3 linked regions of the Saccharomyces cerevisiae S288C genome follow. The gene in region 1 interacts genetically with each later gene. Each region holds a gene or a part of one and is shown on either strand. Other genes may lie near its edges. The genes, in order: MUP3, OPT1 and FAU1.

What was found.
Region 2: mutations in MUP3 (region 1) and OPT1 together harm fitness less than expected from each alone (positive genetic interaction), as found in Saccharomyces cerevisiae (one large-scale study listed by BioGRID).
Region 3: mutations in MUP3 (region 1) and FAU1 together harm fitness more than expected from each alone (negative genetic interaction), as found in Saccharomyces cerevisiae (one large-scale study listed by BioGRID).

The regions. Positions count from the first base shown.
Region 1 is NC_001140.6:21,153-31,609, forward strand, and holds MUP3 (Mup3p), read left to right. Parts: upstream 1-5,088; coding exon 5,089-6,729; downstream 6,730-10,457. Other genes in the region: EFM1 (protein-lysine N-methyltransferase), read left to right, coding at 631-2,388; CBP2 (Cbp2p), read right to left, coding at 2,465-4,357; YHL037C (uncharacterized protein), read right to left, coding at 4,626-5,027; putative ATP-binding cassette multidrug transporter VMR1, read right to left, coding at 6,826-10,457. UniProt on the Saccharomyces cerevisiae protein: Very low affinity permease for methionine.
Region 2 is NC_001142.9:29,104-40,712, reverse strand, and holds OPT1 (oligopeptide transporter OPT1), read left to right. Parts: upstream 1-4,463; coding exon 4,464-6,863; downstream 6,864-11,609. Other genes in the region: NUC1 (ribonuclease), read left to right, coding at 1-519; CBP1 (Cbp1p), read right to left, coding at 744-2,708; PEX2 (ubiquitin-protein ligase peroxin 2), read right to left, coding at 2,979-3,794; YJL213W (uncharacterized protein), read right to left, coding at 7,555-8,550. UniProt on the Saccharomyces cerevisiae protein: High affinity transporter for glutathione. Also transports tetra- and pentapeptides like the opioids leucine enkephalin (Tyr-Gly-Gly-Phe-Leu) and methionine enkephalin (Tyr-Gly-Gly_Phe-Met) across the cell membrane.
Region 3 is NC_001137.3:549,785-559,255, reverse strand, and holds FAU1 (5-formyltetrahydrofolate cyclo-ligase), read left to right. Parts: upstream 1-5,286; coding exon 5,287-5,922; downstream 5,923-9,471. Other genes in the region: TOG1 (Tog1p), read left to right, coding at 576-2,960; FMP10 (Fmp10p), read right to left, coding at 5,997-6,731; YER181C (uncharacterized protein), read left to right, coding at 7,460-7,783; SLO1 (Slo1p), read left to right, coding at 8,134-8,391; ISC10 (Isc10p), read left to right, coding at 8,729-9,471. UniProt on the Saccharomyces cerevisiae protein: Only enzyme known to utilize 5-formyltetrahydrofolate (folinic acid) as substrate. Contributes to tetrahydrofolate metabolism in an alternative way of folate biosynthesis.

The sequences.
Region 1 (10,457 bases):
TGCTTGGCCTTTTTTTCTCTTTGACACTATTTTCCTAACGATATGTGCTTGTTATATCACACCTGCTTTTATGGGTGCATTTTGATAAATTTGCAATCCCAAACAGGAAAGAAGTGAAAAAGGCCAAGACATATGTGGCTTTCTAACAAATACAGGCACACAAATTTCGTAAGAGAACAAGTCCTAAAGATGAACGTTAATGATAATATACAATTGTCTTCTCATTTCTGTTGATGGATTTTCATTCGCAGGTGTATTTTTCCATCGCTTCGTGATAGAGCTGCCAGTACGCTTCATCGCGGTCGCTTACATGCGTGATATTTAGGGGATCTTTCATTGGCTTCCGATCAGATAATATGTATCATTAGTCAGCGGAAGTTACAGGTGGAAACCCTCCCCACCTTGATAGTTGTCTTGATTGTATAGGCCTGTAATCTATTACTATTATTCTATTGGAGTCCTGCTCGTTGTTCGTTCAAGGCGAATGTGCCTGCGATGAGTTGACTATGAAAAAGAAAATTTTTCAACTTGAACTTGACCATTCCAACAAAGAAGAAATGATGGAAGTAAAAAAGACTAAGGAATCAAGCTTGGTGAAGCTACCTCGTCATTTAATTAACGAACTTCTGCATGATCACCCAAACTGAGCTAGATAACTGCTTACAATGGGCTCAAAATAATGGAGCCTTCATCGATCCGAAAATCTCTTTTAGGATTACAGAGGATGCTGGTGTTAGTGCATTTGTAAACGAAAAATTCTCTCCCAAACCCGACCAAGCTTTGATTAGGGTACCCGAAACTCTGCTGATCACTTCCCAGCAAGCTTTATCAGAATTTTCCCAGGCTGCTAATGAAAGGAGTCTTTTGAATTCCGTGACACAGTTGTACTTGTCAAAGTTGAAATTTGGCACCGATGCAGTTCACCTGAAATCCTTTTACAAACCATATTTAGATGTGCTACCCTTGCACCTTCCACAACCATATTTTTGGTCTACTGATGAAGTCATGAATTTGCATGGTACAGACGTGTACTTAACTATGAGAGATACGCTGAACAAACTAGTAAAGGAGTGGAGGATGCTGTTCCAAGCTTTATCTATTGAACACTCTTCTCAAGATAAGCAGTTCTTGTCTTTATTCCAGGAGAATAAAGACTCTGCCGTAGTGCCGTTGGAACAGTTCTGCGCACACATCAATGGATGTAAACTAGAAGATTCGGAATGGAACTCGTTCGTGGCGTATCTTTGGTCGTACTGCATCTTTAATTCTAGGGCATTTCCTCGTGTCATTTTAGGCAGGGCCGGTACAGACCGCACCAATCTGAACGAAGGATTTTTGTATCCAATAGTAGATTTATTAAACCATAAAAACGATGTACCAGTAAGATGGGAGATGAATGAACAAAATGAACTTTGTTTCATGTCGCAGACTACCACATTTAGTGCACAGGATGAATTGTTTAATAATTATGGTAATATTTCTAATGAAAAATGTTTGTTAAACTACGGGTTTTGGGATTCCTCGAATAAGTTTGACTTCTCTAGGTTGACTTTAAAGCTACCATCCACCTTAGTTAGCGGTTTGCCCGTGGATTTTAACAAATCAGGTAATTTTGTTACTGACGATGGAGAAACTACCATTTTACAATTTAGTTTAAAAATTTCTGAACCATTACCACCGGTTCTACTAGCGTTATTTGCCTACCTAAGTAAATTAAAGTCTGAAGAAACTCCAACCGTAAGGAGCGTATTGGAAGGTATTGATCAATTAACATCTGTAGTATCCCAGAGATTGCTGTTTTATAAGAATTTTAAAATTAAAACTTCTTCGACTCAAAAATTACGCCCTCATGTTATTAAACTAATCAAACTATACTATCAAGATAACAAAAAAATTCTGAACGCCACTACTGAGAAATTGTCCGTTTTACAAAAAAAAATATATAGCAATAATAAGGAGTTTTCTCTGTCATTCAAGACAATTTTTAAAAACGACAAAATATTTGCCAATTCTCTCTTACTGGTATTTGGTGCTATAAATTACGAAGATTTGATCACAAAAGACTGTCTTAATGACGCATTGTTGCTCTGGATAGTCAAATTAATCAACGATAAAAGTAATAATCAGGGAGGTTTCATTAAACAAACCTTCAAAGAAGTTAGTGATTCAATTGTCATTGAAAAAGAAGATGTTATGGAGTTTTTGCCGTTCTATAAAAAATACTTCCCTAATTTATCGGAGAGAATTCCAGAAATTTATAGTGTCGGTGATTGGGGCATAAGACAGTTCATTGTGGCAGATACTGCGATTGATAGATTGGTTTGGATCAGGAAATCAAATAAAGAGCCTATATTTCTAATGAAGAAGGCATACGACTTACAGATTTAGCTTTGATCTGTAGCCTAAGTATAAAATTCTACGTATGTATATATTTACATGCAATTTTTTCTTTTTCCAATTCATGTTAATGTTCTTCATCATTTGATAATAGGCCAATGATATTATCTACTATCTTCTCCTTTTGAGGAGAAGCTGCTTTCACTTCCTCGTTGCTTTTCTCTTCGTATAAATACATGAATTTCGACTTGTCCAGCATTTTTTTATCAATACAATGCATGTGCCCATGAAGTTCTACCTCCGACAAATCTTTAACAAAATATGTCGTTATTTGTGTCATGAATTTCAGTAGGGTTTGAAATATTTCGGGTATGGCGTTCTTCTTATCCAGAATAACAATTTTGTAGTTTGCTGATAATGTTATTGGACGAAGCTGGATGGGCCTATTTACGCGGAACTTTTCGCCATATATTTCCTGTTCGAAGTATAAAAGTTGGTTGGCCAATTTCTTTAATCCGTTTGCAGATTGTAGCGATTGTTCATTCGCAAAACCAGGTTCTATTGTTGCATTTATTGACTCAGTGAAACCCACCAACTCCATTAAAGTTGGTCTTAAATCATCTTGCATAAACTTGTACAAGTTTGGCTGGAAAATTCTAATCATTTTCGATTTTGTCAGCACGGTTTGCAAAATTAATGTGATGTGTTCAAATCTTGATAAAGTCGTTTCATCATTTTGGAAAATAGAGAATTGGTTCCATTTCATTTCTGAAATTACCAGTGCGGAATATGTTTGTAGGTCATGAAGAAAAGAGTCGTATTTTGTCTTGTAGTTGATCAGAGAAGCTTGGTCCGTGGGTATTTTCATGGACTCGGTCTCTTGATATTGCTTCCATATATATGAGTCCCAAACATTCCAACTAAATTGAAAGGAAGGCGCATTATCGTTACCAGAGAAGGAACGGATGCTTTTCTTGTTACGTTGTAAAATGGTGAATATATTGTAGAGAATGAAATTTTTGCAAAATTCAGCCCTCAATTGCCGGATGGAGAAGTCGTTTGATAATATTGTAGCTCTTAAAATGTCTCCAGGGCACGTTCTGTCTTTGTTTGATTGTTTGCTCCACAATGTCTTATGGCTAACCGATCTTTCTAAAAGTTGCTTCAAAGTGACGACATTACCACCAGCGATTCGAGTTGTGGCACTGTTTGCATCCAGATAGAATGGTTTACCCTCTTCGTTCGCCAGTATCCGACCAGCGTTAGCCTTCTCAATGCGCTTTCGTTCATTCAAGGTGCAAAGTGGCGAAGCTATCTTGGTCTTCAATTTGTCTACCTCAGTAACGAAAAATTCTCTATGTTTATCTACAAAGTAAGGGAAAATACCAATTCCATCGAATTCCCCAATCATCGCCTCATCGGAAACCTGGAAAAGAGGCAAGGGCTTTGCATTAGCTGGGTTTACAAACATGGGTACCTCACCATTATTTTGTTCCAAGAGTCTATCGTAAGTGCTCTTCTTAACCCCGATTCCCCGACAAAAGTTTGAAAATATCGACTTAGGCCAAATTACACGCTGCAGTTTCAACTTATCATCTTTGCATCGTACCCTTATTAATTGTTGCCACTCGAAAGATGGCTTGAAGTCCTCATCCATTTCGCTGAACAACTTCTCGTAGAGACTTAAGGGGTGGTCAAACATAGGCGCAATCCGTTCCCAGTGTTGGATCCTCTTCTTCGAGGATTTTTGAGTTAGATCTGTTCTAACAATCTTGAATGCGTGTTCGCGAGGGGCGTTTATATCACGTAATAGCAGTTTTTGCAAGTCCGTGAGTGAAATATTATACAGTACTCCTTCAAGATCACAATATTCATAAGATAAGTTTGTCTTCTTAAACGCTTGCTTACAGCGAGGGAACACCTGATGTGTGATATTCTCCATGTTGAACTTATACCTGTAACGAGAGGAACTGCCCTGTCTCCTCAATGAGACCATGAACAATGTTTGCCAATTCACCATTTTGGTCACTCTGTCTCAAACCTTTCCTTCAGCGCAGCCTTACTCCTTCAAGAGAAGCCTTCATTGTCCATTCACTTAAGCATAATTTGTCATCTTCAATGCAATTGAACTTTCACTAAATACACCCATACACACCAATCTTGGATTCTACTCGGCGGCAATCTTCACTCTTTCCTTTGTTTTATCATTTTCTATTCCACCTTTAGTTCCCCAACTTCACCTCTTATCGAACTATCAACACATTTGACTATCATTTTGGCAAATTCACTCACGTGAGGGCGTGTGCTAACCATGCAAGGGTTATGGCATGCGCATCCATGTGGCGTTTCCTACTTTTATTTTTACATAATATATAAGATAATTGCACATGCAAACAGTCAATCTTTTTCCTGCAATTGATGTGGAGACCAAAAGGTTTGCATCTCCTAGTACCACGATTTTTTGGTGCAAAAGTGTTGATAATGTAATTCAGGTAGAAAAGGTAGAAGTTTCCTCTAGTATGTTCACAGATTGGATTAGAAAAAAAGATCACGCGACTCTTGCCGGAAAAAACTGTGGCGTCGCTGCATATATATGACAAATCAATCATATAGATTAGAGGCCTGCCTGAGTCAAGGGGCAAAAACAATACACATATAAAGACCTGGATGCTTATCGATGATCTGTACATTCTGTTTGTAGTCTAAGTTGCTGAGGGCAACGTAGACGTACAGTGCTCAAAATAAGTAAAAATGGAACCGCTGCTTTTTAATAGTGGGAAAGCAAATCCCTCTCAAGATGTTTTCATAGATGTGGAAGTTGGTGATATTACCACAAAATATGGTTCCACAAATACTGGATCATTCAGTTCGATGGATACTGTGGAAGCGCAGGCGATAAAGGCAGAGACGGCAAGATTCATGGAAGTTCCACAGGGAAGACATTTAGGTGTGTTCTCCACGGTTGTGTTATTTGTTTCGAGGATAATGGGGTCAGGTATATTTGCAGTACCCAGTGTGATTTTACTGAATACAGGTGGTAATAAGCTGATATATTTTGCGATCTGGGTTTTTAGCGCTGCGATCGCTTTTGCAGGATTGTATCTTTTTCTAGAATTTGGTTCCTGGATACCGAAATCAGGTGGACGTAAAAACTTCCTCGAACGGAGTTTTGAAAGACCCAGACTATTAATTAGTGTGGTGTTTTCGTGTTACAGTGTTTTAACTGGCTATGCATTGACGGGATCTATCGTCTTCGGTAAATACGTGTTGAGCGCATTTGGAGTCACGGATGATTCGTGGTCCAAGTACGTCAGCATATCATTTATAATATTTGCCGTTCTCATTCACGGTGTCTCTGTAAGGCACGGAGTGTTTATACAGAACGCACTTGGTGGTTTGAAGTTGATCATGATTGTCTTGATGTGCTTTGCCGGGCTATACACGCTTTTCTTTTATAAAAGCACCGGTCAAGTTGCCTGGGACCTCCCAGTAACCCAAGTTGAGAAAGATTCTCTCCTGTCGGTGTCCTCTATTGCTACTGCCTTTATCAGCTCATTCTTTTGTTTTTCTGGATGGGATACAGTTCACACAGTTACATCAGAAATTAAGAATCCCGTTAAGACGTTGAAGGTGTCAGGTCCCTTATCGTTGATAATTTGTTTTGTCTGCTACACAATGATGAATGTGGCATACTTGAAAGTTTTGACATATGAGGAAATTGTTAGTGCAGGCCCCCTGGTTGGTTCCGTGTTGTTTACCAAACTTTTCGGACCCAGAGTTGGTGGCAAATTCATTGCTTTTTCTATCGCCATTTCTGCAGCATCTAATATTCTGGTTGTCATTTACAGTATATCAAGAGTTAACCAGGAAATATTCAAAGAAGGTTATTTACCATTCAGTATTCATATGTCCAAAAATTGGCCATTTGATGCACCTCTACCATCTATTTCTTTATGTGGCTTTATAACCATTGCTTGGATATTGATTTTACCCAAAGAGGGCGAATCCTTCAATTATCTGGTATCGATGGATGGTTATGGTAATCAGTTTTTCTTATTATTGGTCGCTATTGGGCTCTTTATTTGGAGGTTCAAACACAAGAACGAAGTCCCAGAGATTCGTGCATCTACTTTTGGAGTATTAGCCATTATTACATTATCATTATACATGTTGATGGCACCATTCTTTGCCGACCCTAGCCTAAACAGAGTTGGGTTCCTGCCGCCCTACCAAATCATGTCATTACTGGTAATAGTTGCATGCTTCTTTTTCTGGTTAGTTAAATTCGTTTTACTACCTAAATTCTTCCATTATAAACTTTTACCCAAAATCACTTATTTGCATGATGGGCTCATTGTCACAGAATGGGTGAAAAAGCCATGTCTGTGTTAGTTTTTCCTTTTCTACATAAATATTTTATAGACTACTATTGCATTTTTAATAAATAATATTCATCCTCATCTTTGAATAAAAGAAAGAAACATTCGATTATTTCATCATCTTACTTGATTGCTTGGCTATTTGCTTCAAAAGCTCTAGGCCCCCACTGTCACGACACATACTATAAAATATACCGCGTTCATCTTTCAACAGTTCACTAGGGCGATCATATTCTTTTACCTCACCGGCATCCATCACAATTATCCTGTCGTAATCGATAACAGATCTCAAACGATGTGCAATAGTAAGAATTGTGCTTTTATTAAACTCACTTCTTATAATACCCTGAATTAAATGGTCAGAATCGTAATCAATAGAGGAAGTAGCCTCGTCCAAAAGTATTATCTTTGGCTCGCGTAACAATGATCGTGCAATAAAAAGCAATTGCCTTTCACCTTGGGACAGATTTAAGCCGCCCTCAGCTATTTCTGTGTGAAGATTTAAAAATTTATTATGAGTGCTGTTAAAGCGTTCCTCCGAGTTAAGCACTTCTTCAAATTCATGTGAAGAAATTAGATTTACTTGTGAAAGTGCTTTGAATATTTTTTTTTCATCATATTCATCATATGGATCAACATTACTTTTGATTGTACCTGCAAATAGAATAGGGTCCTGAGGGATGATAGTAATGGAACGACGTAATGTAACGAGATCAATTTTACTTATATCCTGCCCATCTATTTTGATACATCCGGTTATTGGTTCTAGTAATCTGAATAATGCCGTTATTATGGTAGATTTGCCTGCGCCAGTTCTTCCGACAATCCCAATCTTACTTTGAGGATCCACTTTGAAACTAACATTTCTTATGACAGGAGGCAAATTTGGCGCGTAACGTAAAGATAAGTTTTCAATTTCAATTTCTCCATCTTTTGGCCACGATGGTTCGTTTAGAAGTAGAATGCGGCCTTCATCATGGCCAAGATAGTTCTCTTGTTCAATGCTAGAATATTCTTTTAGTCTTTCAACAGAGTTCATGTTCATTTCAAATGTTGAGTACAGTCTAACTAACCATAAAGCACCATCTGTAAACAAAATGGCATATGTCAAAGAAATGCCGGCAAGACCCGAGTCAATATTTGCAATATTGAGCAGAATAAAAGAACCTGATGCTAAAACAATGAATGCGCCAATCATGTCGACTCTAAAAGAAAACCATTTGACAGTAACTGATAAATAAAAGAATGCTCTGTTATTTTGGTCAATTTTGTTCATATTTTCTAAAATGAATCTCCTCTCGTCGCCAAATGCACGAATTGTGCAAACGCCTACCAAGGTCTCTGAGAAATGTTGAAAAATGGGTGATTTGGTTATTGAATCTAACCTTTTCAATTCTCTACTTGCCGTTAAGTACCATTTCCCCACAAAGAAATATAAAACAAAAACGATAACGGCGACTGTCAAAAAGCGAGGAGTTATTACGGTAATGAGAAATATAATTGATGCGCATTGAATTAGGCAAAATATAGTTACTTCTAAGTATGGAATCAATTCTTGATCAACACCTTCGATGTCCTTTGAAAAGCGATTCATGATTCTACCAACCGGCGTCACGTCGAAAAATCGTATTTGGGCATGTAGAACTAGATCTAGCAGATTATTAAAGATCTTTCTGGAGGCTCGCATACCGGATAAAAACGTCATCATTGTTTTAAAACCACCTAGCATTGCCTGAATGATACCAATAAGAAAATATACGGTTAAGTAATAAAATGCATTATGTTTATTTTTCGAAGAGTCGGTCATCCCTTTTAATGGCAGCGTGTCCATCGCAAAACCTGGAGCATTTATTCGTACATTGGTATCGTTGACCCAATGTCGTATCCACCAAGACTGACTGATGAACAAAATTTGAGCTGTGATATAAAGAGCGAACAGGGCTGTTAAAGCTTTGAAGCCTCCAAAAAATTTCAGGTACCATTTATAAACATCGGGGCTTATGGCACCGTTTGATTTTTCTTCCTCTTCTATTAGCTGGCCATCATTGACAAAATTTGCATCAAAATTTATGTTCTCGGTGACAGGTTCGATTTTCTGAGAGTCATTTTTTCTGGGAGCTTTTAATCTATTAGCGTTCTTTTCATTAATGCTATCTCGAGAAGAAAGTTGAACATATTTTTCCTTAAAAAGCCCTTTGCTTTGTAATTCTGTAATAGTTCCTTGATTCTTCACTTTGCCATTTTCCAACACAATCGCGAAATGGGCATTTCTAAGTGTTAATGAAACATTGTGCGTAACTAAAATGCAGGTTCTATTTTTCATTAGTGGACCTGTGATGCAATTTTCATAGATCCATACAGCAGTATGTGAATCGACAGCGCTCAAACAATCATCTAGTAAGACATGCTTAGCACTCGAATAAACAGCTCTCGCCAAGGAAATTCTCTGTTTCTGCCCTCCTGATAAAGTTATACCCTTTTCACCAATTTCTGTTAGGTCACCTGCTGGTAAAATCTCCAGGTCTCTTTTCAGCCCACATGCATCAATTACTTTGTTGTACCTATCCTCGTTATAGAAGTTATCAAAGATAATATTGTTTTTTACCGTGTCATTTAATAGCCACGCACTTTGTGAACAATATGCGAAGGAATTGGTTAAACCTTCGCAGTCGGGAATTAAATCATGCTTTGGTTCTAAGCTCGGAACAATGATAGAGCCACTAATTAGATTTAGTTCACCCAGTAAACCCAGCAGCAATGCACTTTTACCAGATCCTGTAGAACCCAAAATCAAATTTAACTTACCAATTTGAAATTTAATATTCAAACCACATAATTTGAATGCATTCATATCGCTGTCATTTTCATTCCAGGTTAAAGTCGCATTTTTAAATTCAATTTTATTTTTGTCTGGAGATATGGTTAGTTGATTATATTTTTCTGTATCGTCCATCCTTAAAAAATCGCTTATTCTTTTTAGAGAGACTTTTGATTGATTTATGAAACTTAGCATATTTGATAATTGATCCAGGGGTGTCTTTAACAAAGTGAAGAGTGACAAAGTAGTGAAAGCAAGCGGGGCATTCAAATCTTCATGTTGAACAAATGTACAGATGGCGAAAGTGACACCTGTCACCAAGGTCGGTGTCACGAACCAAAGAAAAGAAGTTACGGACCACACCAAAGATTTTTTTAATAAGGATCTTAATTCCTTTTGCCTTATTGATTTGATTTCATTTATAATATTCCTTTCCCAAGCAAAATATTTGACAATTCTTATGTTCTGTAAGCACTCGTTCAATTTTGAGATTCTTTGGTCAGTACATTTCAGTGTTTGCTTTTGAAACTTACCTAACAAATTCGCTAACAAGAAATTCAATGGGAACATCACTAAGATAATTGAAATTCCTGCAAAAGCTGAAACACCTAAAAAGTTGAAAAGTAGTCCTACAACAACTATTATCATAATTACTGCCTGAACTGTCACATAAAGGTAGTTTGCTAGTTCCGATACCTTAAATGAGTCAATAGAAATGAGATTAATTATGGTACCAAGGTTTGCGGAGATACTATCTGAATCAGAGCTGGTTTTTGGAGATGTAAACAGCCTCCTACGTAAGCCTTTTGCATAAATTTCTCCTATGAGTATGGCTCTTATTCTTAAACAAATCTTATCAGAAACAAATTGACCTTGGGAATTACAAATTGCTAATGTCAATCTACAAATGAACATACCAATAA
Region 2 (11,609 bases), on another chromosome or scaffold:
TTATCCAATATGTGTCCTCAAGTAGGAGAAGGTTTTAATAGAGACTATTGGGCGCATTTGGAGTACTTTTGTAGGGGATTGACTAAGAAATATAAGAGTGTAAGAATCGTGACTGGTCCATTGTATCTACCCAAAAAGGATCCCATAGATAATAAATTTAGGGTTAATTATGAAGTTATTGGCAATCCACCCAGTATTGCTGTTCCAACGCACTTTTTTAAATTGATTGTTGCAGAAGCACCAACAGCCAATCCTGCTAGAGAGGATATTGCTGTCGCGGCATTTGTATTGCCAAACGAACCGATATCAAATGAGACGAAATTGACTGACTTTGAAGTTCCTATAGATGCTTTAGAGAGAAGTACTGGGCTAGAACTTCTGCAAAAAGTACCACCTTCAAAGAAGAAGGCATTATGCAAAGAGGTAAATTGTCAAATTGTAGTGAGAGATTTCTCTAACGCGGCGATCAAACAATCGAAAGATGTGAAATTGTTACCTCCTCCAAAAAAAAGGAATTGAATGTACTGAAAAACTGTAAATATAAATTAATTCATAACACAACGATAGAATAGCATGAAAGAATATAACAAGTCTAACGCATATAACATAAAATAATACATTTATTTGATGATCAAAAAAAGAAAAGAATTAGGATGCAATGCTTGGATTTAGTATATATTTACAGAAATTTGTTTTGTTATTATTTGCTTTGTTATTTATATCGTAAATGTGCGTTTGGCCGTTCATCTTAAGTAACGTTTGACAGCCGACACACCATGCTTTTTAATATCTTGTATGATCTCCTTGTTTGTTTTGAACTCTGAATTTCTAATTTGATGTTTTAAGATGAAATTCCAGTCTAACTTCAATTCCTCAATCGTCATACCGTTCTGGTATAGTTCTGCGCACGCCCAAAGAAAAATGTCTGTTCTTCCTATCTGCAGTGCGCTTAATGCAATATTCCTTAAAATAGTAAACCTGTTTTGATTATTCACTTTTAATTTGACATCACATGGGGAGGATGCAATGAATGGGTTACAGTTCGATTTTGTCCAGTATGTTTTACTTCTCTTTGCAGCATTTATATAAAGTAGTTTTGCCAAATCGATATCCTTCTTGGCATTGGCAACAAATTTACCATCTCGCTTTTTATAATGACAAAGTTTTTTAATGTATAAAGCGGAAACCACATTCCAAAGAGAGTTTCTGTGGTCAGGATCAAAATCATGTGCCTTCGTCAACAAATCGTTTACAAGTGCCATCAAATTATCGGTGAACTTGACCTTTGAAGCCAATTTCCAATCAACTACTTCGTTAATTATTGACCCATAGGCTAACATTGCTTGTCCGGGGGGTATAGTATCGAGTAATTTGACTGCCTTAGCGATATGATCGAGGTTTTGTGTTTTGAAAAGGTGAATAATTATTGCTTGATAATTTTCTTGCGAAAGCGCCCTGAAATTTGTTGTTATTTGCTTCAAAACCCTATCTACACCGTTAGAATCGTTAAATTTCAAATGCATTCTTAGCAATGAAGAAAGACATCTCTTGTTAAGCCAGACAATATGATGGTTTTCGGGTAAAGTGTATCTGTTAATGTTCTGCATGAGTTCCTTGGCCATTGTTAAAGAGTCTTGCTTTGTAATGAAGTCAATAATTGCCGGTAATATCAAAGGGTTATTACAATAGTACTCTGGAGTTAATTGCCAAAACATTTCGCTACATATAGATCTATAGGCTCTATTATGGGTACAAATCTTGAAGACTTTATAAATGATTCTGGAATCATGTGCAGAAATGGAAACATAGTGCTCTTTGATTTTGTTCCAAATAGAATACACACTTGCAACATTTCCTCTTCTATAATTTTCATCAATGGACTTGTACGCAAGCAGCACTTGATCATCCCGAAGCTTCAAATCGTTAGTCAAAGAATAGTTTATATTCATCAGTTTGTTCAGTATAGCCTTGCATAATTGCGGGGCTTCATTACTTAAGCCGAGGGCCTTATTAGAAAGAGTTTCTAATTGAAACCTCGTTAACTTTATTCCGCCTCCGGTTATACTTTCGAACAGAGAGTTCAGTTGTAAATATTTGACTAGATGAACATGATCATGCAGTGGGTTTGGGTACGCTAATACTGATATTATTTTCTTAGCATATTGTTCGTCTAGCTTTTTATCATCTGTAAATAATCTGTAGTACAGCAGGAAAAGGTCGGCAGCCATAACTATGTCTCCTGTGCCGATGGCATCATCAACACACCAGCGCATAGTATCCAATTGCGTAGTCAAGGGCTTTTGATGTCTTACGGATGAAACTTGGGAGACCACTTGATTGACTAGATCCAAGTTTTTCTTGCATTGGTACAAACATTCTCTTCTATAAATTCCTCTTGTAGTCATAGATGAGGTTTTTGTGCGATTGATGAAACTGATGAAATCTTCGATCTTGACCTCGTGTAATATAGAGCTTTCCAGTAAGCTATTTTCTTGTTTCCGAAGACTTTTGTAGTCCGCCATGTCAGACCAATATTTCCGTATTTTCAACTTGTCATTGTCATTTAAATTCGCATTTGCTTTGATAAGGGCCAAGACCTGTTTTTGAATTGGATCCCTGCTGCTGTGGTTGATTCGTCGCAAGGTCCTGGTAGGTACCATTTTTATAAACCTCTCGGTCCTGTACCGAACGAGACGAGGTAAAAACATTGCATGGAAAGGGAAACGTGCAAAATGCAAACTACTGCTATCCTAAAGTGCTCACTGTTTATTATTACTGGATTTCAGACGTCGCTTCCCACATCGTCCCGTACAGCGTTCCATGATGATATTATACCACTTCTTTATTGTTTCTTTTTTTTCTTGAGCAGAAAGTGAAAAAAAAAAAACCAGACCCTTTACCACGTGACCGATTTTGACAACATGAATATGAATATAGTATACACATATATAGAGATACAAGCGAGGGAACGGGGCCCTTTAGTACACTGGTGAGGCGGTCAGTCTCCCAGAGGATCCACAGGCATCGCACATAGACCACTCCAACGCCTTTACAACGCACACGTAACAGTAGTTCGCACGACAACAAGCGATCTGGTATGGGTTGGTTGGAAAACCGCCGCAACGGGGGCAAACTGTCTTATAAGTAGTCGTAGAACGAGACCTTGGTGGTTTTTTAACAAAGGTCAAGAGTCCTCTTTTCGTAAGTAGTGTATTGGAAAAGAGTTCTAATAGTGCATTCCATAGCAATTGTCTATTCTGGTATTCTAACCCAGCGAATACAGAGTTCGAATAAAATTCAGAGGCAATTGCAGAACCATCCCGAATCAACCTTGTGGAATGGACATTAAAAGCCCGGTATAACGGCGACAAAAACGCCCTCGCATTGGGCCCTTCCGCTGCTAGAAACCTCAGGAAGTTGGTTACATCACAGCCGTGATACAATAAATTAACCCATTTGTACAGCTTCAGCCACATCATCTGGTTCCCACAGTGCGGCCCATTAAAAATAATATGTGTGATCTTCTTCCACACGTACCCTGCCAAGACAGTGACGACATACAAGGTGCGTTTCCTGCACTGAAAAACCACGCCACTGAGTGCGGATCCATACGTACAGCTAGAGCCATAGTGTGGCAGGAACCTCGTCGCGCACATAAACACAACTGTGTTCAGTGCCAACTCCCATTCCTCTTTGTGTTCACTCGTATTGAATGCTGCATTGAACTCGGACCAAAACTGTCCATACAATTCTTTATCAAGCGCTATCGAGTCGAGCTGTGCAACTCGAGACATGCTGCGTTGCCTTTAGATTACGTCTTCTCAGTTATCTCGGCAATCTCTCCTCGTTATGCTTTCCCTCCGTCTTCACTCATCCCTTATAATGCGTTTCCCAGCAACCTTATCGATAGAATGGAGGGGAAATCGCATCCGTTCCACTCCTCGGATCGATACTAACTTCCGAGACGTTGCATCAAAGGCCAAGACATGGCATTAGTCACCCTTGTTGCAACGATAGACGCATACTACGGACCCCTCAAACCTCCCTACCTGCCCGTCGCTATCGCATTAATTTTCTTTTTTTCCACTATTTTTCCGGCCCGCCACACCTCCGACTACAAGACGCCACATCTACGTTTTGTCACACAAAATCCAGGACAATAGCCGTCTGCAAGGCACCAAGGTTTTCAGCAGTTGCTTGTTGCTGCTGCCTGTTAATCACATCAAACCCACTGCAAGGGCAGTCGATGGGTCTGTAAACGCCTTAGCAATCGTTGTTGAAGAAAGAGAGCTCTTATCATCATGGGGTGCCCATCATTTTTCTTTTTTTTTCAAATTTTGGGCTATTCAATGAATTGTTTCGACTATATATGGACAATCATCGGAAGCTGTGTATTCTTGGTAAAAAGTTTTCGACTGTGTGGCAGAAAATAACCGCAACAATTATATAACGTCACAGAACACATGAGTACCATTTATAGGGAGAGCGACTCGTTGGAGTCGGAGCCCTCGCCAACGCCAACAACCATTCCTATCCAGATCAATATGGAAGAGGAAAAGAAAGATGCTTTCGTTAAGAATATTGACGAGGACGTCAATAATCTCACTGCGACTACTGATGAGGAGGACCGCGATCCGGAAAGCCAAAAATTCGACAGGCATTCCATACAGGAGGAAGGTCTCGTTTGGAAGGGCGACCCTACATACTTGCCCAATTCTCCATATCCTGAAGTGAGATCGGCGGTGTCCATCGAGGATGACCCCACCATCCGCCTCAACCACTGGAGAACGTGGTTCTTGACCACGGTGTTTGTGGTAGTTTTCGCCGGTGTTAATCAATTTTTTTCCCTGAGATATCCATCGCTAGAGATCAACTTCCTTGTTGCACAAGTTGTTTGCTACCCAATTGGTAGGATACTGGCTCTCTTGCCCGACTGGAAGTGTTCTAAAGTGCCATTTTTCGATTTAAACCCGGGCCCATTTACCAAAAAGGAACACGCCGTGGTCACAATTGCCGTGGCGCTTACTTCCTCTACTGCATACGCTATGTACATTTTGAACGCCCAGGGAAGCTTTTACAACATGAAACTTAATGTCGGATATCAGTTCTTGTTGGTTTGGACATCTCAAATGATTGGTTATGGTGCTGCAGGTCTTACCAGAAGATGGGTCGTCAACCCTGCAAGCTCTATCTGGCCTCAGACTTTAATTTCAGTGTCCTTGTTTGATTCGTTGCACTCGAGAAAAGTTGAAAAGACAGTCGCAAATGGTTGGACGATGCCCCGTTACAGGTTCTTCTTAATCGTCCTTATCGGATCGTTCATCTGGTATTGGGTACCTGGATTCCTCTTTACCGGTCTGTCCTATTTCAACGTTATCCTATGGGGGTCGAAGACAAGACACAATTTCATCGCTAACACAATCTTTGGTACTCAAAGTGGTCTCGGTGCGTTGCCAATTACATTTGACTACACCCAGGTTTCCCAAGCCATGTCCGGCTCTGTTTTCGCCACACCATTCTACGTCTCCGCCAACACCTATGCATCAGTGTTGATATTCTTCGTCATAGTGCTGCCATGTCTTTATTTTACGAATACCTGGTATGCCAAATACATGCCCGTCATTTCAGGTTCTACTTATGACAACACTCAAAACAAATACAACGTAACAAAGATTCTTAACGAGGATTATTCCATTAATCTTGAGAAATATAAGGAATACTCACCGGTATTCGTTCCATTTTCCTATCTTTTGTCGTATGCTTTAAATTTTGCCGCTGTTATCGCCGTTTTTGTCCACTGCATCTTATACCACGGTAAAGATATTGTCGCCAAGTTTAAAGACCGTAAAAATGGTGGCACTGACATTCACATGAGAATCTACTCCAAGAACTATAAGGATTGTCCCGATTGGTGGTATTTACTTTTGCAGATTGTCATGATCGGTTTAGGATTTGTAGCAGTGTGCTGTTTCGATACTAAGTTCCCAGCTTGGGCATTTGTTATTGCAATATTAATTTCCCTTGTAAATTTCATCCCGCAAGGTATCTTGGAAGCAATGACTAACCAACACGTAGGTTTGAATATTATCACAGAATTGATCTGCGGTTATATGCTGCCTTTAAGACCAATGGCAAACTTATTATTCAAGCTATACGGATTTATTGTCATGAGACAAGGCTTGAATTTGAGTAGAGATTTGAAATTAGCCATGTACATGAAGGTTTCCCCTCGTTTGATCTTTGCCGTTCAAATCTATGCCACTATCATATCAGGCATGGTTAACGTTGGTGTCCAGGAATGGATGATGCATAATATCGATGGCTTATGTACCACCGATCAACCAAATGGCTTCACTTGTGCTAATGGTCGCACGGTTTTCAATGCTTCCATTATCTGGTCTTTGCCAAAGTATCTTTTCTCATCAGGGCGCATTTATAATCCGCTGATGTGGTTCTTCTTGATTGGTTTGCTATTCCCACTAGCCGTTTATGCTGTTCAATGGAAATTCCCTAAATTTAAATTTGCTAAGCACATTCATACTCCTGTATTTTTCACAGGCCCAGGTAATATTCCACCAAGCACACCTTATAACTACTCATTATTTTTTGCAATGTCATTCTGCCTAAACTTGATAAGAAAAAGATGGAGAGCTTGGTTCAATAAGTACAATTTCGTCATGGGGGCCGGTGTTGAAGCAGGTGTGGCAATCTCCGTCGTCATCATCTTCTTGTGTGTACAGTACCCAGGTGGTAAGCTCAGCTGGTGGGGAAACAACGTTTGGAAAAGAACGTATGATAATGATTATAAAAAATTTTATACCTTAAAGAAAGGTGAGACATTTGGTTATGATAAATGGTGGTAATCATGAAAACATAATAATAAACCTGCAGAGGTTCATATCAAGTTTTAATTCAAAATTTGGCACACGTAATAGCAAACTTTAGTTCATATTCTGTAATATTAAGAAATTATTTTCTTTTCTGTCATCCTTTCATATTGCTTAACTTGAAATACTTTATCTCAACGTTTAATTATACTGTTAATAATGATATTTCTATATTTTAGAGCACATTTTGGTCGAAACATTCAAAGCGACCCCTGCAATATTTAGCGGAGGCATCTCATCCGCCTTATTTTTGTAAATTAACGATCTTTAGCGCATGCCAAGTGTTCGATAACAAATTCCGACTTTAAGAAAAAACGGGCACGAGCATACAATAAAAAAACTTTTAAAATTTATACCTCCTTGAGGTGTTCTATTTTATGATAGATCCGTATTTCAGATACCAAATGTTATATACACTTTTTTAAGCTTGGATTTTTTTCTGAATACACGGACCTTACAAATGCTATAAAAAAAAAAAAGATTCTGTAACTTGTAAAATTAAGGGCCCTAAAGGGCCATATCCACCTCACATTTCACTGTGATATAAGTAGGATATTTTGACTTCAATACTTAAATTTACAAGCCAAATATTTTATTATGACTTCAAAAAAAAAAAGGCTTCTAGCATTCAGAAATAATGCTGACTGTGAAAACAACTATAACTACATCAATATATCCTTCCCTCTTTCATGACAAATAGTATGTTGCTCTCGGGTTCATCCAAAATCGTTATATCGTCCAACGGATTTGATTTCATCATCAGTAGGTCAGCAATGAACCCTGGCTTAATCTGTCCCAATTTATCGCCTAATCCGTTCATTTCGGCAGGAGTAACAGTTGCTGAGAGCAAAATCTCTTGTGTCGTTTGAACTTTCCCTCTAATACGAAACTCTTGCGTTTGATAACCATATAGAGGACCCAATAAATCTGAACCAAAACAAATTTTAACTTTTTTTTTCTGGGCAATTTTCATTGCATCAATTCCTTTGTAAAGCACCTCTGTATTTTTTCTACTATTTTCAGGTCCCAAGAATGCACTAAATTGATCAGAACCCATCACTTTGTAGGTAACTAGTGTTGGAGTCAAGTAGCAACCCAATTCTGCCATAAGCTCTGCGGTACGTTCATCTAATAAGTTTCCGTGTTCGATACCCTTAACACCTAACTTGATACAATTTTGTATCGCTTCCGCAGTGTAGGCGTGTGCTGTTACGTATGTGTGGTAACTATTTGCGACATCTACAAGTGCTTTTATTTCGTCGTCGCAAAATTGTTTGTTTGATATTTTGTCAGTTGGAGAGGCCACACCTCCACCACCCATAATCTTAATAAAGTCTGCACCTCTTCTAAACTCTTCTCTGGCCGCTTTGTAGCATTCGGGAACACCATCTGCTACAACACCAACTTGACCAAAGTGGCATGAACAGCTGTCAAAGGCACTAGCAGGTAGGGCACCAGATCTCAGATCGCCATGACCACCAGTTTGGGAAATGGCATGTCCACACGTAATTAATCTGGGACCATTCAAGGATCCCTGACGAATCTCTGCTTTCAGAAAGCCTTCTGCACCCCCACAGTCTCTCACTGTTGTGAAACCTCTTGCCAGAGCGGCTTCCAAAGTGTATCTTATTCTGAGTAATGCAACTGACTTTGGCATCAGCATTAACTTGGTCAGATCAGCCTCTCCTGCAACCGACGCAATGTGGACATGACTGTCGATCAGACCTGGAGTGACATACTTACCGGTGCCGTCAATAATTTCAAAGGCAACTTCATCAACGGTTACCGGCTTTTCAGAACCAAATTCGACCTTGGAAATGACACCCTGTTCTATGAAGATGTAAGCTCCGAGGAGACTGACACCGCTTACCACATCTATCAAATTAGTGTTACTTATACAGTAATTTTTGAGTGGCTCTGGGCGCTATGGTGCCACCAAGTCGGCCAGGGACTTGTTCATTCCTTCATTGACATCGATTTGATAAGTCGTCATTTTTATCTCGGTTAATATACTGTTTCGATGTCCCGTCAATTGGAAAGAAAAGCTACGCTACATACCAGCAAATATGTTGCTTTTATATTCGCTCATATCGGAGATCAATTACCGACATACTCTTCTCTATTCAACAAGTTCTCCGTTCTCCGTCAAGTTACGTCGTTTACGAACGATAAGAGGCTGATCAAATAGGAAGGAGATATTGTCGGATCATTTTTTAGTATGGAGATAATGCGTCATGCCGACATGAAGGCACCATCATCTGTGAAGTGTGTCAAGAAAAAACTGGCGAAGTTAAAGCTAGATAATCCGAATAAGAGGGATAGTAGAAAGGAGGTGAAGTAAAAAAATTATCACCATTTTTTCTCTATTAGTAATGAATTCTTCAAGGACTTTCAAAAGTAAACGTCACAAAAATTTTTATTTCTCAAGAATCTTGTTTATCGAAGGGTCTTTATTGAGAAATGTTAGAAAATTGGTAACTTTTTAAGATCAGAGTTAACAGGCAGAAAAAAAACAGGGTCTTTTTGTTCAGGAACCCTTTTTGGCTGAAAAAAAGAGCGCACAGAACAACGCGAAAAAGAAAAGGAGGAAATCGCGTATCCTTATGGCGTCGCAAAATTGCAATTAGTTAGCTATGTAATCTGTTTGGAAAGCTTCCTCAAAATTAATAATGGCGAAAGCAATATAACATCACTATTACATCAGGAATAGCTGTTGCCATACGATAAGGGGGTAATGAACAGATTGCTCATTAATGTCTATATTATGCATAATACGATTTTAATGTTCGGAATCTGTAGATGGTGCTAACATTTTACATGAACCAGCGAATAACCAGACTGGACTCGTTTGACCAAAAAAATTTCTGTTGGTAGTCTGTGTAGGTTTTCACAAAGAATAGTATAAATTGATACGCAACGAAATTAGTGGTAAAAATTTTTGTTTACTTTACGGCTTACACGGGGCCGTGGCTGATACTGGGAATACCATATCGTTTCGTTCCAGTGCCGATAAAGTGGCTGAAAAAAATTTACATATTTTTCTTGAGAGAGGTCTTTAACTGGTCTCACAGAGACGGTTAATCAAATGCTCGGAAACAGGATAAATGAGGACATCTGCACAATCGGGTGTTACCGCCTTATCTTGTTAGCAGTGGCTATAATCACTCCAGAATATGCCGTCGTGTTGGTGGCATAAAAAATTCTTTTTTTGCCATATAAGAATATCCAAGTTTAGGAATGACGCAAATTCGACACCAGGAATAATTAACGAGTTAATTCTCCCGACCCTCAAAATTTGAATAACAGTGCCCTCTTCTATCTGTTCACCACGGCACACAAACGGTTTGGAAAGATGTTGCTTTGGGTGTGAAAACTTTATTTATCACTGCTTTGCCATCACAATGTCTGTGATTTGAAGACCAGCTACTTCTCATTTAAAATAATATCTTATACGTACCATTGCTTCCTTTTCTGTAAGATGATCAACTACACGTCATCCTGAAAAGCAACATCACTAACAACTTGAGGCTTTAAGTCCAAACTCAATGTTGCAACAAGATGGTTTAAAGCAGCTCTTAATCAGTAGAAGCGAATATCAGCAGTAGACTTTTTGGCACTAGAAAATAAACTTCTTGAGTAAATTCTAGAGATACCTGCCTAGAAAACCCCCCTGAAGAGCCAATTTAGGTAGGAATTGTAATAAAGGTCTCAAGCTTGTAGGAGAATTATTTTTTTAACCCGCAGCAACAGTATTGTCACTTTCTTCTTTTACGACGTCATATTTTATAAAACGAATCTTCTCAACCTTTTTTAAAATTCCCAGTTGTCTACTTACAAATAATGACGTTCGTGTAAGTTTAGAGACTATCGGCACGCTCTAAAATGTGACTATATCGATATCGATTTGGCGGTTTTCACCAATAACAAAATGGGTGAAACATAGCTGAATTTTCTGCAATTCTTAGAATCCTATTATGAAATATTGGGGCCTTGAGCATTAAACCGACACCCGAACAAATTGAATATTTCGAAAATTGTTCTTTTCGATGTCATTTTTACCAAAAGTTAGATAGGAGATGACCCAGCGGTTACCTGTATTTCAGAGGTTACAACAAATTAAAGCGGTCTTATATTACTTTAGAAGCACCAACTTACATATTCTGGATAAACAGTATTTCTAACTTACTACTAGTTTAGTAACACATGTTCGTTACAGATAAGCCATTCAAAGATAATTAAAATCAGTTGCGCCATTATTAAAGGCCGAGAAATATATCAAGGTTTTCAGCTTAAAGGGATTTGCTGACTTTCTTATGCACTAACGCGCCAACATCGTCCTTTTAAAAATTAAGTCAACTCATCGCTTAGCGCTTAGCGCTAATGCTGGTCTTCCTCGAAGAGAACATGCGTTCGTATTGAGATATAAGTAAATATTGTGGTAATTACCGGAGTTTCATTGTTAAAAAAGAGTATGGAATTATGAATACAGAATAGGCCAGGAATTTTCATGAGACTATGGGAAATTGCCAAGGGAATCAATAATTCCACATAATGTAATTTTTCTTCTTCCTTTCTATGTGCCCTCGTTTATTTCCTATTACATTGCTACTCCTTTTATTTCAGCTTTTATTAATTCTGAAATCATTAGTAATATAAATTCTGGGTTAGGAAATCATAATTGATCTCATTCCAATGCACTAGAATACCTATGTACACACGAAA
Region 3 (9,471 bases), on another chromosome or scaffold:
TGAGCTTGCCGCGGCATGGGGAAAGAAACACTTCATCCTGTATGGAGAAAAACCACTTTGCCGCGGCACATCAAAACAGGGCTGAAACCTTCAGTATGCGCGATACCATTACACGACAATCGCATGGCTTAGTCATAATAGATCGAGGCGCTCATATACATGGCAGCCACAATATTTGAAGGTCGACAAATAAGGACAATATCAACGGTTAGGATACCGAAACTTGAATATGGCTGGTTTCTCAGGAACAGCCGATACTGTCCTGATCTTAACTTAAGGTGCGGTGAAGTAACCTGGATTCAACGCTGCATGAAAGACCTGATTAGGCTTATTTGATAATCCAACAAAAAAAGTGATTGGTTGGTTTGCTAGTATTCAAAAATAACTATTTTGGAGTACTTTGTTTGTTTGAAAGGCTGGGTAATAATTTTTTTGATGTGTGCTTTGAACAGTAAAAACTTTCTTCCTTTCTATAAGCTAGAAGCAAATCCAAATCTCATCGAATAAGCGCATTAGGTTAACGACATTATTGTTGTTTAAATTTTAAGCTTTTTAGCTTTTTATATTTTATTGAGATGGCAGCAAAAAGAGGATTAGCCAAACAAAAATCTAGGGTAACCAAGGCCTGTGATAGATGCCATAGGAAAAAGATTAAGTGCAACAGTAAGAAGCCATGTTTTGGGTGTATTGGGTCTCAATCAAAATGTACGTATAGAAATCAATTTCGTGAACCGATTGAGGCTTTTTTCAATTATACTGGTAGTCTCAGTAATGATTTGGATAATGCTAAGTGCAGCATAGCAAAATTGAAGGCACAGTTACCTCCAAGCGCACCGGCCTCTTTACAGAAAGGCCTAGCAAACATTTGCACTGAGCTTGAAAAAATACAACCTCAGCTTTACCTCAATCTGGACAGTAAGGAAATTAGCTCGTATGGTGGCCTGAAATCGATAGAAACAGAAATTATCGGGAAACAGTCAAAATCTTTGAATAGGTTCTCCAACGCTTTTGAAAGCAATACTGCACAAAATGTCAGTATGTACTTTGGGGTCTATTCACCGTTGCTATATTTTGCCTCTACGGGTATTAGCTGGATAACTAAAAAATTGATTTCATGTTCGAATGATAGGGAGACGAGAGAAACTATCTATTTATTTTTGAAGTTTCTTGACGCTAGCTCTGCTAGCCATGCTGGTCCTAAAGTAACTTCGATATCTCCTTTAGAGTATTATTCAAAGCTAAACGGACTTTCATGTGGGAACGACGTACTTATTCAACACATTATGTCAAATATATCGAATGAAATCAAAGGAAATACAAACATTAACCAAACAATCAAATTCAATAAACCAACAGACTGGTTTATGTACGGAGTACAATTGATGGAACAGCACCACAAGGCGTTGGATCGTAAAAGTTCCAAAAAATTACTTCCTTTGAAATATTTTCTTGAGCAAGATGAGTTGATTTTTTGTCTCTGTCTTGAATATTTTGAAAGATCCCTATTTTCGACAATGTACGACTTGACTATTTTAAAGGGCTTAGTCTCGTTGATGAAACACAGATATTGGATAGACGATCCTTTTGTGCTGGGAAGAATTATTTCCACGATGTCCAGGCGAAGTTTGGATGCTGGTTTGAATCGTTGGGAATATTATATTGGTCAGGATGAGGACACTGCCGAAGAATATCGTAAGTTATGGTGGGACTGCTACTGGTGGGATAGATGGTATTCATTGGTCACCGGTAAGCAGCCATTGATACCACATGAAATGACTTCGTGTCTCTTTCCCAAGGATGTGGTTGGATTAGGGGTAGATGATTCGATGGACTGTTTTACTTTAATAAACTTGGTGGAGCTCGACCCAAGTAAGTTTGATATTTGTATCTCTTTCGGCTATATTCTATTAACGAAAATTATTACAGCGGTATTCTCTGGTTTGCTTTATAATCGACACTTTACAGACTACAGATTATTTGCAACTCCTAACGCTAAAGACCTAAATGGAACCGCACGACAGCTTATGGTAGAGTTTTCAAAAATATGTAAAATTTTTCAGTGCATACAAGACAAACTAATCCCTTTCCTCAAACAATATTCTGAAAATAGTAATGTATTTGAACTATACACCCATTTCGGATTTGCAAAGGTTTGTTGTTTTCAGGGAATGGAGAGTTTAATTTTAAGGATACAAAATCTTCTACAAGAAAGAGAGAGAATTGAACTTGATTCCTGCGTAAAGGACATCAGGCTTCAAACCTTTGAAGCATCTGTAGATATTTTGACGGATGTTCTCAAGCACGAAGATACGTTCTATATTTTCCGTTGTTCGTGGTTCATATATGCCATCTTGATGAATATTACCTTGAATTTTATCGAGACCCCTAGAAGGAACTCGATATGTTATTTATCCTTGATGTGCCGCATGATAGCCTCATATAATGACTTATTTGTGAGCTCTGGCAATGTTAATTTCAAGGGCAACAACGCCTTCTCTAAAAAGTTGGAAAATGGAACAGCGGTTTCTTTCATCCTAACACGCATCTGCTGTCAGATGTACACACGTTCACAGAAAATGGCTAAGGAATCGCTGTTTTGTGAATTGAAAAAATATGGCCAGGCTTGCTCAGATGCTGGTCAAGCTGCGTTGGACATTGAATGTATCTGGTACAGGAATATTATAGGCGAACACAAAGAATCAAGCTTCCGTAAAGAAATTCTCAGCATTCTTGATAGGGAAATGGGTGATTTGGTGAATAATAGAGTTATTGGCGTACAGGGAAAAAATCAAGAAGGTGCTTGTTATGAGAAGTTGTCACCCAGCAGCACCAGTGTTTCAGTTGGCATGGACTTTTGTAGCCTCGAAAATTTTGTGACTGCAGAATCTCTACCAGACCTTCTCAATCTATTTTGGGAGGACACTGAATTTGGTATTACTAAAGAAAACCTCGGAGAGTAAAAACCAAGTATGCACCTAAACAATTGATCACTTTCAATTAGGAAATAAAATCCCTTGATTTAGACGAATACTGTAGAATGCAATAAAAGGTTTTGTGATTCTAATCTAGTCCCTTACGTTATGCACCGCTTTCAGGAAGGTTATGGGCTGTACCATGAAATCAAAGGTGGCTCATAACTAGTAAGTAAAAGTAAATGTCCTTTTTTTATGCAAGATCTAGAACGATTCGAGTATGGTGTTGATACCACTGTGGTAAGTCTTTCAAGCTACACGCAATTACACACACTCACAAATCTAGTTGTATTTACTCCTTTTATTGTTGCTAGTCTAATTATTCGTCCCACGATTTTATCGTTCTTTGAGTATTTCGGGTCTCAAAAGATTGCTAAATGAAATAACTCTTAAAAATTGCTTCACATAGTCTTGTTGTTACATTCACAATTCACAGCTTTCCGTTGCTCATCGCTTGATAGGAATATATTATGATAGGGATTATCCTGAAAGTTTCAGCAAAACGATAATTACTTCAGCTTTTCTTCGTCTATTTAACCTAGTTTTCCGTCATAAATCCGTTCTCTTAAAAGCACACCTACTCCACTTTCTGAAATAACATAGATATTGAATTTGACTTAGATTCATATATTAGAAAAATCGAATAGTTTCCTGTGCCTAGAAATTCTAAGGTGCCATTCCAGAGGATTTTTATGACAAAGATGAGATGTAAGAATCAACTTTTTTTAATATTTTATATCTTTCATCAAAGAAACATCACAATGTATATTACAAAGTGGAGAAGCATCCAAAATATAGCTGCAGTGAGAATTCATTGAACTGTATCAACTGGGTGGAAAATGTCACAGTCACTTATGGAATTCTATGATTTTATTCAATAGAAAACATTTAGTAAAGCTGGTAACCGACCTTTTTTTTTTACACATTTTTTTTTTTTTTGCTGATTATACCTTGCATTCTAACACCGGGTTCTGATGTTATCACCTACTTTGTATCTCGCATCATTCTTTATTTGGTAGACACGTCCCAAAATGGAGGATGCGCACTAACGAAAATGAAGGATAATGCAGTGAGAATGATAATTTTGATATTGATAGGATCAATTGAAAGCATATCACATGTTTTTTGTGAAATGTTGTATAAGAGATAGCGCTCTTGTTGGGTTTCGATAGGGGGAATGTGGAGTATCTGATGTAACACTGTAGTCTTATTTCTTGTCATAAAGAGGGACTGATTGGGGTGAGGCATATTATATTATAGGAAAAATTGCAGAATATCTAGGTAGTAGTCGCTTCAATAAATTTTTTTCCGACACAAGAATAATGAGACAAATCGGACTATATTTGACGATTAAATAAACCCAAAGCACCCCTATGCTATATGGGGGAACTTTAGAGTAAACAAGGTTGAAATACGTCAATTTGTAATTTCATAAAATACGTGAGGTCTTTTTGTGAGAGATACTTGCCCATTTAGATTTTTGTCCATATCGTGATAATTTTTTTGAGTTTTAATTAATGTGCTCCACCATCACAGAGTGTGTACCAGTGCAACCCACTCAGGGATATGCTTTAAGTCATATATTCTCGCTCTATGGGAACCATAAGCTGGACACATTTCTTGAGGTTATTTAGTAGCGAAAAATGGCGCAATGTTACTCTTTCACTTCTATTATATGGGGCTACAATGCCAATAAGGATTAATGGGTAGCGATTGTGGTTTCTTACCTTTGTGTAGTTGCGTAGGCTTTTTAGTGTATCAGTGAGCAAATTTAGTCCAAAAAGATCGCCAGCGAAGACTGTCGTATCTGGATCATTCGTAGTATCGATAGCTTAGCGATATTCTCGAGGATGTAAAGACAGCAGATTGGAGTTCTGATAATTTTTCATTACTTTTCAGTGAGAGAGTGCCTTTCTCGTTTTATATCTCAATCCTACCCGTAGAACTGGTCTGCTATTCTCATTTATCATTTTATTTCAAAAAAACCTTCAGGAGACAAACTGATTCCATCAAAGGCCTGTTTGCTATCTAGGACAATATTCGAGCTTAGTAAGTCACTTCCTGAAAACCATTCTGCTTGCGAGCCCGAAGCTTTGTGGCAATCAGTCTTCCACATCTGTTTGCAAGGGTGTTTTATTTCATGTCGTGAGAGATTTGTGATTAAAGCTGTTTTTATTAATCAGTTAGCAGCTTCATTCTCTTGAAGGATATATATAATTTTCTCAGATTTCTTCCGAATAATATTTAATCATTGAAATGGCAAAAATAAAAATTACTGTCAGCTACGCTATCTTTATATAGCTACAAAAAATTAATGGCCACTAAGCAATTACTGAGACGTCAAATCAAAAGGGTAATAAATGCTCTTGACTACGATATTATCGCTGCAGAGTCGCATACTATTTCTCAAGCAGTACGCTCATTGATCGCTTCCGCCAATTCTAGGCGTGTAGCGTGTTATATGAGCATGGATAAAGGAGAAGTAACGACTGGAGAAATCATTAAGAATTTATTTCAAGATGGCCAGGAGGTCTTTCTGCCAAGATGTACTCATACTTCTGAATCGAAACACTTCAAATTACGGGAAGATCATCATCCACATTTAATATTCCATCGAATGAGTAGTTTGAAAATGGTTCGTGATTTGAAGCCTCAAGGTCCATATCAACTAAAAGAGCCTGAACCGCATATTGAGGAATCAGATATTCTAGATGTCGTATTGGTGCCTGGAGTGGCGTTTGATATTAAAACTGGTGCAAGGATGGGTCACGGTGCTGGGTATTATGACGATTTTTTCCAACGGTATAAGATACTGCATGAAGGCCAAAAGCCCCTCCTAGTTGGACTATGTCTTATGGAACAGGTGGCCTCTCCAATTCCTTTAGAAAAACATGATTATTCCATGGATTGTATAGTATGCGGAGATGGATCCATACATTGGTTTCAATAATTTCATATATGTATTATTTACATGGTACAGCTATTGTATAAATAAATAAATAAATAAATAAGTAGACGGCAAATCTATTTTTCTTCTTTTGGATTCCCTTGTTCGCTAGAAAACGTGGCATTAGCTTTGACCAATGTCCTGTTGCCACTTTGGTCCATAAGTTCAGCCTTTAATTTAGTTTTGTTACCGTATTGCTGAAGATCGGTGGTTCTTACTACAACAAATTGATTAGCTAACGTGGGGAACTTGTACGAGATACTCAAATTCTTGGTTTCTTGGTTTATATTTTTTGTTCCTTTTTCGAGTCTAATGGCCTCCTTCATTAAATCTTCAATAACTGTTGCTAAAATGCCTCCGTGAATTAAGAAAGGATAACCAGTAAGTTTCATTCCTAAATGGTATAGCCCGACAGTTTCACGCCTACTGGGGTTGTAGTAAACTCTTGGTGGTATAGCGACGCCACCTGGTGTATTTAATGCCCTTGACACTAACAAGTTCTCCTCTTCATTAGCAATCACTTGTACAAAACCAGCATTCTCCAACTGTTTTACTATGGGTAGGCCATTTAAACGTCTATTCAGATCAGCGTGATATTTGACGACTTCATCTGCGTTCTTGGGTAGGGCATCATATCTCCAATAAGCTAGTAAGTCCGTGAACGTCATATGCTGTGTCAAGTACCACCCTCCAAGAAAACTTCCCCCAAAAATTGTCCATGGAATCCATCTTCTTTTGGGTTTAGAGGCTGTCTTGAAAACAACGCCATTTGTATACGTTCTTATCTGGGCTATTGCGATTCTTTTAAACATCTTGGCCTTGCTGGTACGGTCTCTTTCTCTTCCTTACTTTTCTTAGTTTCTTTATAAACTCTTTGTGCACTTTGTGAGTTTGTTCCTTTTCTGCCAAGGGGTATGCCTCATCGAAAATTAATCAATCTTTAAATAAGGTATTATGTTAAATAAATGAAATGTAAAATGTGTCGCTAATGGAGTACTTAGAGACATTTTTGGAAATCAGTTTTGTGAAATATTAGAAAGAATTCCTTTTGTTTATTTGCTCAGAGTACAACATCTCAAGACTTTTATTCCTGTTGCAAACCAATGTTCACGTACGGTGACCCAAAATGATGGCAGTCATAATCAAATCTAATGGAAGTTGAAATCAAGAAACGATAATGTAATAGGATTGTAAATTACAACTTACAAAGCAAAAGAAGTAATAATAATATGCTATTTAGAATTGCCGATTCTCTTTTATTGATTCCTGTATCTTTTGAGGAGAACTTCTAGTATATGTCTAATGTCGTTTTACTAGAAATGGGACCCCTGAAAATCGTCAGCAACTTTCAACTGAATCTGAGAATGATGCTCAAGTCGTCATTTTATCTTGCAGAAGCTAAGTGCAGGAGTTGATAATACAGCAGAATTAAAAGTGACAACGCAAGAAACAAAAACAAATGCAATCTCAATATTATGTGAAATTGATGATTTCGTAGCGAATCATGCGCACTGTGGGAGAAGCCTGGGTATAATTATGTATGCTAATACTGTTACGTTTATCTGAGGTTTGTGTGAATTTTGTGATAATTATCGGGATTCCATTGTTGATAGAGGCTTCAATACTATGTATACAGAACATACTAGAACTTCTCCTCAAGGGTATAGGGATCCTCAAATTTAATCGGTATTTGCATACAATAATATTACGATTATTTTTCCTATCGTTTTATATGCTTCATTTTCCCATTACATTATCAATTCTTGCATTTCAGCTTCCATTAAACTTGCTAACTCTTTCTCAAGCTTCATTTCATCTTCCTAGATCTCATATGATACTATACCAGCAGCAAGAATGCTACTAAATGGATGATATTCTAGAGTTTCATTTCATCATCTACACGAAGGGATGGGGGCATCTGAAGTATTTGAAACGTTGCTATGATTTCATAATTTATGCAGGTTTAACACAGATTACAGGTCTCTTGGCCCAGTTGGTTAAGGCACCGTGCTAATAACGCGGGGATCAGCGGTTCGATCCCGCTAGAGACCAATTTTTTTGAAAATCGTAAAAAGGCCCAAAAGGGAGAGCACAGCACGTTCTGCTTAAAAAAATAAAAAATGATGTCTTCAATAAAACATCTTAAGGACCAGTTTGTAGATCTGCGAAGTTGTTGACTAGATAAATTATAATAGCAAACAAACAAATAGGACAATGTCAGCGGAGAACATTAGTACTGGCTCGCCGACGGGCAAGCAGCCATCCTCTGAAGTTAATCTTGGCGAAAGAGAAGCTGGAACAAAAAATGAGAGGATGATGCGCCAAACCAAACTTCTGAAGGATACATTAGACTTGTTGTGGAATAAAACCTTAGAGCAGCAAGAGGTGTGTGAGCAACTAAAGCAAGAAAATGATTATCTAGAAGATTACATTGGCAATTTGATGAGATCCAGTAATGTGTTGGAAAAATAACTTTTCAACGTAGGTTTCTGTTTTAAATAGGTAGATCAGTCAAACGGATGCGTCGCATAAATGGCTGATAAATTTTTCCACTACTCGTTTTCTCTTTTTCTGAGTTTCTATATTTTGCGCCTGTTTTACAAAGAAACCAGTATGGTTTGATCCCATGGGCGATGCCACAAAGAAGCTATAGAGAAAAAATGTTAAAATATTCGAAAAAGCTTCGAAAGATTTTATTGCGGTCACTCATGATCATAAAAAAAACCCTTCTCGCATTTGTAACATTGTATTTTAGTTTCTACTTCTTGTAGCAGGCCCTGAAGTATAGATTCTCAGACACAGTGACAAAATGGATGTCGATGAGAGGTTGCATCAAGATGAAAATCAAACCCACCCTTTTTCGCAAAAGAAGTCAAGCAGTTTCTTGATAAAGGAAAAAGCTGCTACAAAATCCAAGGATCTTGAACATATAAGGCTTCGTGACCTAAATTTCAATCATAGAAAAAAGCTAGATGACAAAAAATTGGCAAAGCAAATCCCAGTTAAGGCAAATTTCAAGAAGCCTAACGAAATTGAAGCTCGCGCTAACCTAAATTCAAATGAATTAACAGATATCAACCTTGACTATATACCGGATTCCCCATCTATAGAGAAAATATCAGGGCCTGAGGATTCTATTGTTGTAACGCCAAGAAATATCATACATTTACAATCTGATTCAGATATTATTCTCGAGGAATGCGAGCATAATTATGACTGTAGCCCTTTTTACCGTCTGTTCAACTACGAAAATAGAATTGAGCCCGATGACTACGAGGCTATTATAAACGCTATAATAACTGACGAAATTGCTGGCACATATCCGGTTTTCGAACGGGAATTAGAGTACCAAGAACTGAAAAGTCTTGTCAGAAAGCGAGATTATATTATGTATTATTTCTTGTCAAGGGATTATCGGGGGTTTTTTCAGTTGAAAGAGGAACGTACTTTATTTTATAGGTACCCTTCAATTGCGTACACTAGCCCGTTGAGGTATCTGGATAATGGATCTGAAACCGAGCAGTTTACCGGGGATGATGATGAGGAGCTCCA